Linked DNA regions of Sus scrofa. The protein of the gene in region 2 purifies or fractionates together with the protein of the main gene of each other region. This does not show direct contact. Links are inferred from orthologs where the notes say so. Each region holds a gene or a part of one and is shown on either strand. Other genes may lie near its edges.

The links.
Region 1: the proteins of WDR92 (region 2) and CCT3 purify together in Homo sapiens (affinity purification with mass spectrometry; 3 studies listed by BioGRID and IntAct, counting the BioPlex papers as one, with this or other methods). This does not show direct contact. The link is inferred for Sus scrofa from reciprocal best matches to the Homo sapiens genes DNAAF10 and CCT3.

The regions. Positions count from the first base shown.
Region 1 is NC_010446.5:93,732,630-93,736,971, reverse strand, and holds the start of CCT3 (T-complex protein 1 subunit gamma), read right to left. Parts: upstream 3,006-4,342; 5' UTR 2,881-3,005; coding exon 2,850-2,880; intron 2,662-2,849; exon of another isoform or gene 1,943-2,661; intron 784-1,942; coding exon 722-783; intron 1-721. Other genes in the region: TSACC (TSSK6-activating co-chaperone protein), read left to right, coding at 3,244-3,262, 4,160-4,219. UniProt on the Homo sapiens protein: Component of the chaperonin-containing T-complex (TRiC), a molecular chaperone complex that assists the folding of actin, tubulin and other proteins upon ATP hydrolysis.
Region 2 is NC_010445.4:74,091,611-74,095,427, reverse strand, and holds part of WDR92 (WD repeat-containing protein 92), read right to left. Parts: intron 2,201-3,817; coding exon 2,100-2,200; intron 1-2,099. UniProt on the Homo sapiens protein: Key assembly factor specifically required for the stability of axonemal dynein heavy chains in cytoplasm.

The DNA.
Region 1 (4,342 bases), on a different chromosome or scaffold from region 2:
TGTTTTCTGGATGGAAAGGAATAACTTTTCACAAGAAAAAAGGGACACGCCGGAGTTCCTGTTGTGGCAAGGTGGAAACGAATCCAACTAGTATCCAGGAGGATGCAGGTTTGATCCCTGGCCTCGCTCAGTGGGTCAGGGATCTGGGGTTGCCATGAGCTATGGTGTAGGCTGGCAGCTGTAGCTCCAATTCAACCCTTACCCTGGGAACCTCCATATGCCATGAGCTGGGCTTTAAAAAGTTAAAAAAAAAAAAAGGAAAAAAAAGGAGGGGGGACACGCCTCCCAGTGCTTCAGCTTCCCAGCAATCTAGATAACTGAAAGTCCATGTACTTGTATTTCTTTCCATGATAGTGGCCTCTACCTCATGCTAAATTAGATCTAGGGCTATTTCATTGTTTCATTCAAAAAGCATTTACTGTAGATACCTATTCAAGAGCTATAGCAAATATTAGGAATATAAAAGTGAATATAGTTCTTCCTTCCAAGTAATTCCATCTAGTATGGGAGATAAACACAAATAGAATATTATGAGATAGTATACAGGAACAGAATTCGCAAAAGTTAATTTGAGTAGACCGTTAGGCCCAGCTCAGAGAGAAAATGATTCCTTTTCTTTACCACCAAGAGGGAAAGGAAGTCAACTTTTCCTCTGTCAAATCACAAAAACTGAAACACCAGGGAAGATAGCTAGAGGCAGACAACTTATAAGATAGGCTACCTTGGCAGCATTGATGTTTCCAGACTGAACTTTTCTTCCAGATTCACGCTTTGTGTTCTGGCCTAAAACAGATAAAAACAAAAGGCAATAGTCCAGGACTGCCCCATTGTATATAAGTTATTCATTTATTTCCCAATCTTTGAAAATAAAAACAGGAGTTTCCCTGGTGGTGCAGCGGAAATGAACTCAACTAGGAACCATGAGGTTTTGGGTTCGATCCCTGGCCTTGCTCAGTGGGTTAAGGATCTGGCGTTGCAGTGAGCTGTGGTGTAGGTCGAAGATGAGGCTTGGATCCCACATTGCTGTGGCTGTGGCCTAGGCCAGCAGCTGCAGCTCGGATTGGACCCCTAGCCTGGGAACGTCTATATGCCGCGGGTTTGGCCCTAAGAAGCAAACAAAAAAAAAAAAAAAAAACAAAAACACATACTGGTTTCCCAGATGTATACACTGATCAAAGCTTACCAACTTATACTCTTCAAATATGTGCAACTTTTTGTATATCAATTGCACCTCAACGAGCTGTTAATAAGTAAACATACATACTTATTTCTTTCTTTACTTCAACTCCTGGTATACTAAGAAACAATTCATAAAGCTTCAACTTTGGAATCTTAGTCATCACTTTCTCTCTAATCAAATATTCATGTATGTATAACAAGGATTCATAACCTAAGATCCATCAGATTTTTAAAGACCTGGTGACCCTAAAAAAGCATCAATCACTCCCTTATGTAAAAAGGAAAACTTGGGGGATTCATGTCCTCATAATTGGGTACACAGAATCATACTGACATTCCCAGCGTAATTATTAAATAGTTCCTCCCCCCTTCTCCCCTGTGTGCTATGGAATGAGAACACACACTCAAAAGCATCTGGGTTTGCGAGATACAATCACTTCATGCTTGGACATAACCAGAATGCCTCAGGAACCCACTGACCATCAGTAAGTGTGACCTACATGTTTTAATAGGAAGTCTAATAGGTTAGGGCCGCTAATGCAAGGGATTAACTCCGACCTCAAAAGAGCTGAACAACGCACTACTCACCTTAGGGCCCTCTCAATGGCTATACCTGAATCAAAAGAATGTTTATTTCACTCCTCTCTCCAAATTATACTTCCCTACAGTTTGTTGTAAAATTTCCCACCCATCAAACCTAAACATTCATTCACAGTTCTCAGGATTTAGATTCCTATTTCAGGCACTGATAACCAAAATCCTGCATGGACCTTTCTGATTGGATTCATCAGAAAAAAATTGGTTTTTTTTTCTGGGTTAAGTGGATTCTTGTTTGCAAACAGTTATTTTCCAGGTATACAGAAAATCGATAGCATTCTACACGCATAAGAGAGGGACGGAAAATGACTAATAAGGCTGAGATTACACAGAACAGAAACATACCCGAGGAAGACAACAGAAATGCGACTCATTCCCCATAGGTAAAGAGACCCAATGGAAAAATGTGGGAAAACTCAGTTGGTAAGTGGGAAAGATTACCACGGAGGGGATATCAAGGGAATAACTACATCTAAGATAAACCAGTGAGGAAGGTAGGGTTACTTGAGGAACAGAAGTTGCAGAATGGAAATTCAAGAGGACAATTACTGAAAATACAAATAACCAAGGCTACCACTCGCTCTTTTAAGCAATTGTCTCTACTTATCTCACTTGAGTCACAATCTTACGGGAAAATAGTTAATCCTAATAATAAAGATGGAAACGTTTCAATCAAACAACGTGGCTGACGCCACACCACTACTAAGGGATGGGCCAAGGTTAAAATGCTAGGCCAAACTTAAAAGCCGTTAGTCACAAAACTGCACACTGAAAATCACTCAAAGAAGGTTGCAAGGGCGGGGGTTGGAGGTGAAGAACAGAATGCCGAGTGGGAAGCATCTTCCCGAGGCCAGAGCCCGGAAAAATGAGGCTCGAGAGAGAAAGGTCAGTTTGCGTTTGTGTAGACATGGGAATACGTTAAGGGTAGACAGGAAAGCAGAAGGGGCTTCCAAAATGAACGACTGGAAGGCTCAGGGGCCGGACCAGGGCGGGACTGGGCTGAGGCAAGGCTGTAAAGTGCCGAAAGAGGGAGATGAAGAGGGGGTCCCTTCCCCAGCTTTCCCAAAACTCACTAAGCACGAGCACCGGACGATGGCCCATCATGGCGGCGCGATGCAGAGCCGGGTACCCAAAGCAGGGGGAACCGGCAGAACCTTCTGGAGAGAGAGAACCAGCGAGAAGCCCAGAAAACGCTGCCTCCTCAGGGCTTACACCCAACCCCGCTACCCTCCCGGGCGCCCCCAATCACCGCACCCATCTCACTGACCGGCACGGAAACAGGCCAATTGACATTCTTAGCCCCGCCCCCTACGCAAGAACGCGGGGCAAGCTAGGTAGAGAGAGCACGGTGATGGCAATGAGAGGGCAGAGGCGCTTGCGCAATGGGGTGGCCGCTCCCGGCCGCGTGCGGCGCGAACCTTGGCGCAAGCGCCAAGGATCGGGTAGTTGGCCGGAACGCCACTGCGCATGTGTGTCAACTATAAGGGTGGGTGCTGGGGTAGAGGCTTTCCATTAACACCGCAGGTGAGGTCATTAAACTCATGCGTCTCGACTCCTTTCGGACGCCAAGGTGGAGAATGACTTGACAGTTTCCATGCTTTCGTTCCAGCTTTGGCTACGGGGAGGACTAGAAGGGGCGGGACCTAAACCGGCAGTTGAGAGAACACCTGGCCCCTTTGATGCGGGGTGGAATGGGAGTTGTAGTCCGATCAGACTGAGCTGGGCGGTAACTAGCCTTCTGGGCACGCTGGGAGTTGTGGTTTACTGCCTCTGACTCGTTCCTATGCATGGACCTTTCCCTCTTAGGCAAATACTATCTATTGAGGCCGTGAATGGTACCTGAGAGTGCTGGCTTACCGACCCCTCGAGTTATCCTATGTAAAACATTTTCTCAAGTGTTTTCCTCTAGTGCTCTCAGATTTTCTTTATCCGTGTCCATTCTTTCCCCTGCCCTCCTCATGCCCTCAGCTACTGGTCCATTAGAGATGTTGGAGAACCAGAGTTTTTAAGTTACCTTACAGGATAGGAAAAGGGCTGATCCCGCAGAAATCAAAACTAGGGGAGAACACAGTATTTGCCCACATTTTTAGGAGACGCTTAAAGTTTGGGCGTAGTTAAAGTACTGTTTTGTCCAGAGAAAAGAAACATTACTAGAAACAGTTTTTTGTTTTGTTTTGTTTTTTAGTGAAAGGATGAGAGCACGAACAATTCAAGAACAGTTACTTATGTTTGGCCATAAAATAGAACAGTACACACCCTTTCATACTTTTTCCTTCCCAAACTGGAGCAGCCTGATATGTGCTGGGGAGAACTTATATGAAATTGTTAATAGTAAAATAATAGCATGGGTTGTTGGTCATGTGATGTTGTGATTCTTTCCCAGGCACCACACCTGTAGGTGTTCAGATGGAGCAGCATTCTAGTCATCCTACTAACAGAAGAGGTGTGTGTCAGAGGCCCTGCTTCCTTTCCCTTAAAACCAGACTTTGATTGGAGTTCCCGTCGTGGCTCAGCAGAAACGAACAAATCTGATTAGTATCCATGAGGACACAGGTTCGATCCCTGG
Region 2 (3,817 bases):
GACCCGGCTGGCGAACGGCTCAAGTAGATCACGCTAATGCACCCTTCCGTGCCTTCCTCCTTATTCTGCCACTTCTACCTTTCTACTGGAGCTTCTACCCACAGTTCTTTTTAACAAGTCAGTTTTCCACAACTTATACTTTCTCTTTTCAGTGAACCAGCTCTTCATGACATATAATCCCAATTTATTATCAGGCCCAGGTTTATTAGTAAAATCTTGCAAATCAAAATTTGAGAAGTTCAACCTAGTTTACAGATGATGTTGATCTTGGTGCCAGACTTTGAAACATCACTTCTTTTCATGTGAGCTTATGACTTACCAATGAAAGTAAGACAGTAATACCTGCACTATCCTAGGAAGCTCTATTAGCAAGAGAGTCAATAGTTATATCTGCTGCATATTCTTGTGCTAAAATATATTTATTTTAAAAAATAACACCCAGGGAGTTCCCGTTGTGGTGCAGTGGTTAGCGAATTCCAACTAGGAACCATGAGGTTGTGGGTTCAGTCCCTGCCCTTGCTCAGTGGGTTGAGGATCCGGAGTTGCCGTGGGCTGTAGTGTGGGTTGCGGAGGTGGCTCGGATCCCACCTTGCTGTGGCTCTGGGGTAGGCCGGCAGCTACAGCTTCGATTCAACCTCTGACCTCTGGGGTAGGCCGGCAGCTACAGCTTCGATTCGACCTCTGACCTGGGAACCTCCATGTGCTGCGGGAGCGGCCCCAGAAAAGCCAAAAAACCAAAATAAATAAATAAATAAATAAATAACACCCAGGAGTTCCACTGTGGTTCAGCGGAGTTAAGAATCCAGCATCCCTGCAGTGGCCTGGGTCACTGCTGTGGTGCGAGTTTGATCCCTGGTCCAGGAACTGCCACATGCCACGGGCACACCCAAAAACAAAACAAAACAAACCAAACCACTCAGACTGCTCTCTCTCCCAAGTTCTTTGAAAGTATATGACCAAACAGGTAAAAACGAATGCATCCTAATAAATGCTAACTTAACTTTTAAGTAGTTAAAGCATAGGGAAGGAAAATCGTTCCATTCTTGTTATACTATGACTTTAAGACAGATAAATATGTCAAAGTAGTTTAATTACAAAGTAATAGATTCTAAGTTAGAATCAAGAAAGGTCACAATAGAAAACATAAGGTAGGGAAGATAGTTCTTCCAAAAAATTACTGCATACTTTAAATGATTTAAGAGATTTTCTTCAAAAGTAATGAGAGGAATTTCAGTTCATTCAACTCATTTAAAAATGAGGAAATAACTCTATGTAAAACATGAAAATTAAAAGCAACTGGCACAATTGTGATTTTGCTCATTCAAAACAGGTTTATCTTGATTTACTCAACAGATGTGTTCCTAAAAAGCTGTGCTCAGATGTTAGCTAAAACATAAAAAAAAGGAAAAAAAATTTAATGAATTGGAGGAAAAAATTAAAACATACAAAAATACAGTGTATCATTCTGTAATGCCAAATATCATCTTAAAATGTAAACAATATCTAATTTTTCAGTGTTACATTTGAGCTTTTTTAGCTTCTTTTTTTTTTTTTTTTTTTTGCCTTTTTTAGGGCCGCACCCACGGCATATGGAGGTTCCCAGGCCAGGGGTCAAATCAGAGCTGCAGCTGCCACTTACACCATAGCTCACGACAACACCGGATCCTTAACCCACTGAGTGAGGCCAGGGATCGAACCTGTGTCCTCATGGTTCCTAGTCAGATTCATTTCTGCTGTGCCATGATGGGAACTCCCATGTGAGCATTTTTATATACTGCATCCTTCATGCTGAAGAGGAATAGCCCTTTATTTACAAATATGGGTATTAAATGCTAGCATTAAATAGCATGGATGGAAATAAATACTAATAACATCATTTGAAATATCTAAAGATAAATATGCTAGTGTCTTAAAATGGATTTTAAACATGAAATCTAAAAATAGATATTGAAAAGTAATTGTCATTCTTATAAACAGTTAAAGTTTAAAATCTGGTAAATTTGAAACATTTTAAAATTAGAATTCTTTCAGAGGAAGAATAACTAGACTATCAAAGAAATTGCTTATCTCATGTCTCAACACTGATGAAATAATCTTACCATATATGAAGGTTTCCAGCAAAATCCCCAGTAGCTAAATATCTCTGCTGTAAAGATGTTGCACCAAATGTTCCACATTTAATGGGTTTGGCCTTTTCAATCTTGAGAGAAGAGAGGGAGAGAGGATACATTATTTATGTAAGCAGCTATTTATAATCCATGATATTTATGGCTCTATTACAGGAATTAAATAGGCACACAATAAAAAAGGCAATTAAAACATTGTCTGATAAAAATTATCATGCTTTTCCTTTAGTCACTTTTATACAATTTAAAAGTTCAGGCAGGGGAGTTCCTGTCATGGCACAGTGGTTAACGAATCCGACTAGGAACCATGAGGTTGTGGGTTCAATCCCTGGCCTTGCTCAGTGGGTTAAGGATCCCACGTTGCTGTGAGCTGTGGTGTAGGTGGCAGACTCGGCTCGGATCCCGAGTTGCTGCAGCCCTAACATAGGCCAGAGGCTACAGCTCCGATTAGACCCCTAGCCTGGGAACCTCCATATGCCGAGGGAGCGGCCCTAGAAAAGGCAAAATAAATATATAAAATAATATAAAAGTTCAGGCACCTTGGAGATACTGCAAGTTGGGTTTCAGACCACCACAAGGAAGCAAACTGCAATAAAGTAAGTCACAGGAAGTCTTTAGTTTCTCAGTGCATGTAACAGTTATGTTTACACTATACTGTAGTCTGTTAAGCATGCAACAACATTACATCTGAAAAAAAAAAATACGTACCTTAATTAAAAAAACACTGTACGGCTAAACAATGCTAACCATTATCTGAACCTTCAGCAAGTCATAATATCTTTGCTGGTGGAGGGTCTTGCCTTGATGTTAATGGCTGCTGACTGATCAGGGCAGTGGTTGCTAAAGGCTTGGGTGGCTGCAGCAATTTTCTTAAAGTAAGGCAATAGTGAAGTTTGCTATTTTGACTGACTCTCACACAGGCAGCATTTTACCCACATTAGAACTTCTTTCGAAATTGGAGGCAGTCCTCCCTAGCCCTGTTTTATCAACTAAATTTATGTAATATTCTATCTAAATCCTTCACTGTCATTTCATCAATCCCACAGCATCTTCACCAGGAGTAGATTCTATCTCAAGAAACCACTTTCTTTTTTTGTTTTTACAGCTGCTCCTGTGGCATATATAAGTTTCCAGGCAAGAGGTCTAATCGGAGCTGCAGCTGTGGCCTACACCACAGCTACGGCAATATCAAATATTTAATACACTGAGCGAGGCCAGGAATCGAACCCACATTCTCACAGGGACAATGCTGGGTTCTTAACCTGCTGGGCTACAATGGGAACTCCCAGAACCACTTTCTTATTAATGTTCTATCATGAGATGTCAGCAATTCCGTCACATCTTTAGGCTCCAATTCTAATTCTAGCTCTCTTGTTATTTCCACAACTGTAGTTACTTCCCCCACTAAAGTCCTGAACCTCTCAAACTCATTCATGAGGGTTAGAAGTAACTTCTTCCGAACTCCTGTTTATGTTGATATTTTGACCTCCTTCCATGAATCATGAATGTTCTTAACAGCATCTAGAATCCTTTCCAGAAGGTTTTCAATTGACTTTGTCCAGATCCATCAGAGGAATCACTACCTATGGCAGCTACAGCCTTATAAGATGTATTGCTTAAAAGTTGAAATTACTCCTTGCTCCATGGGCTGCAGAATGGATGCTATGTTAGCAGTCATGAAAACAATGTAC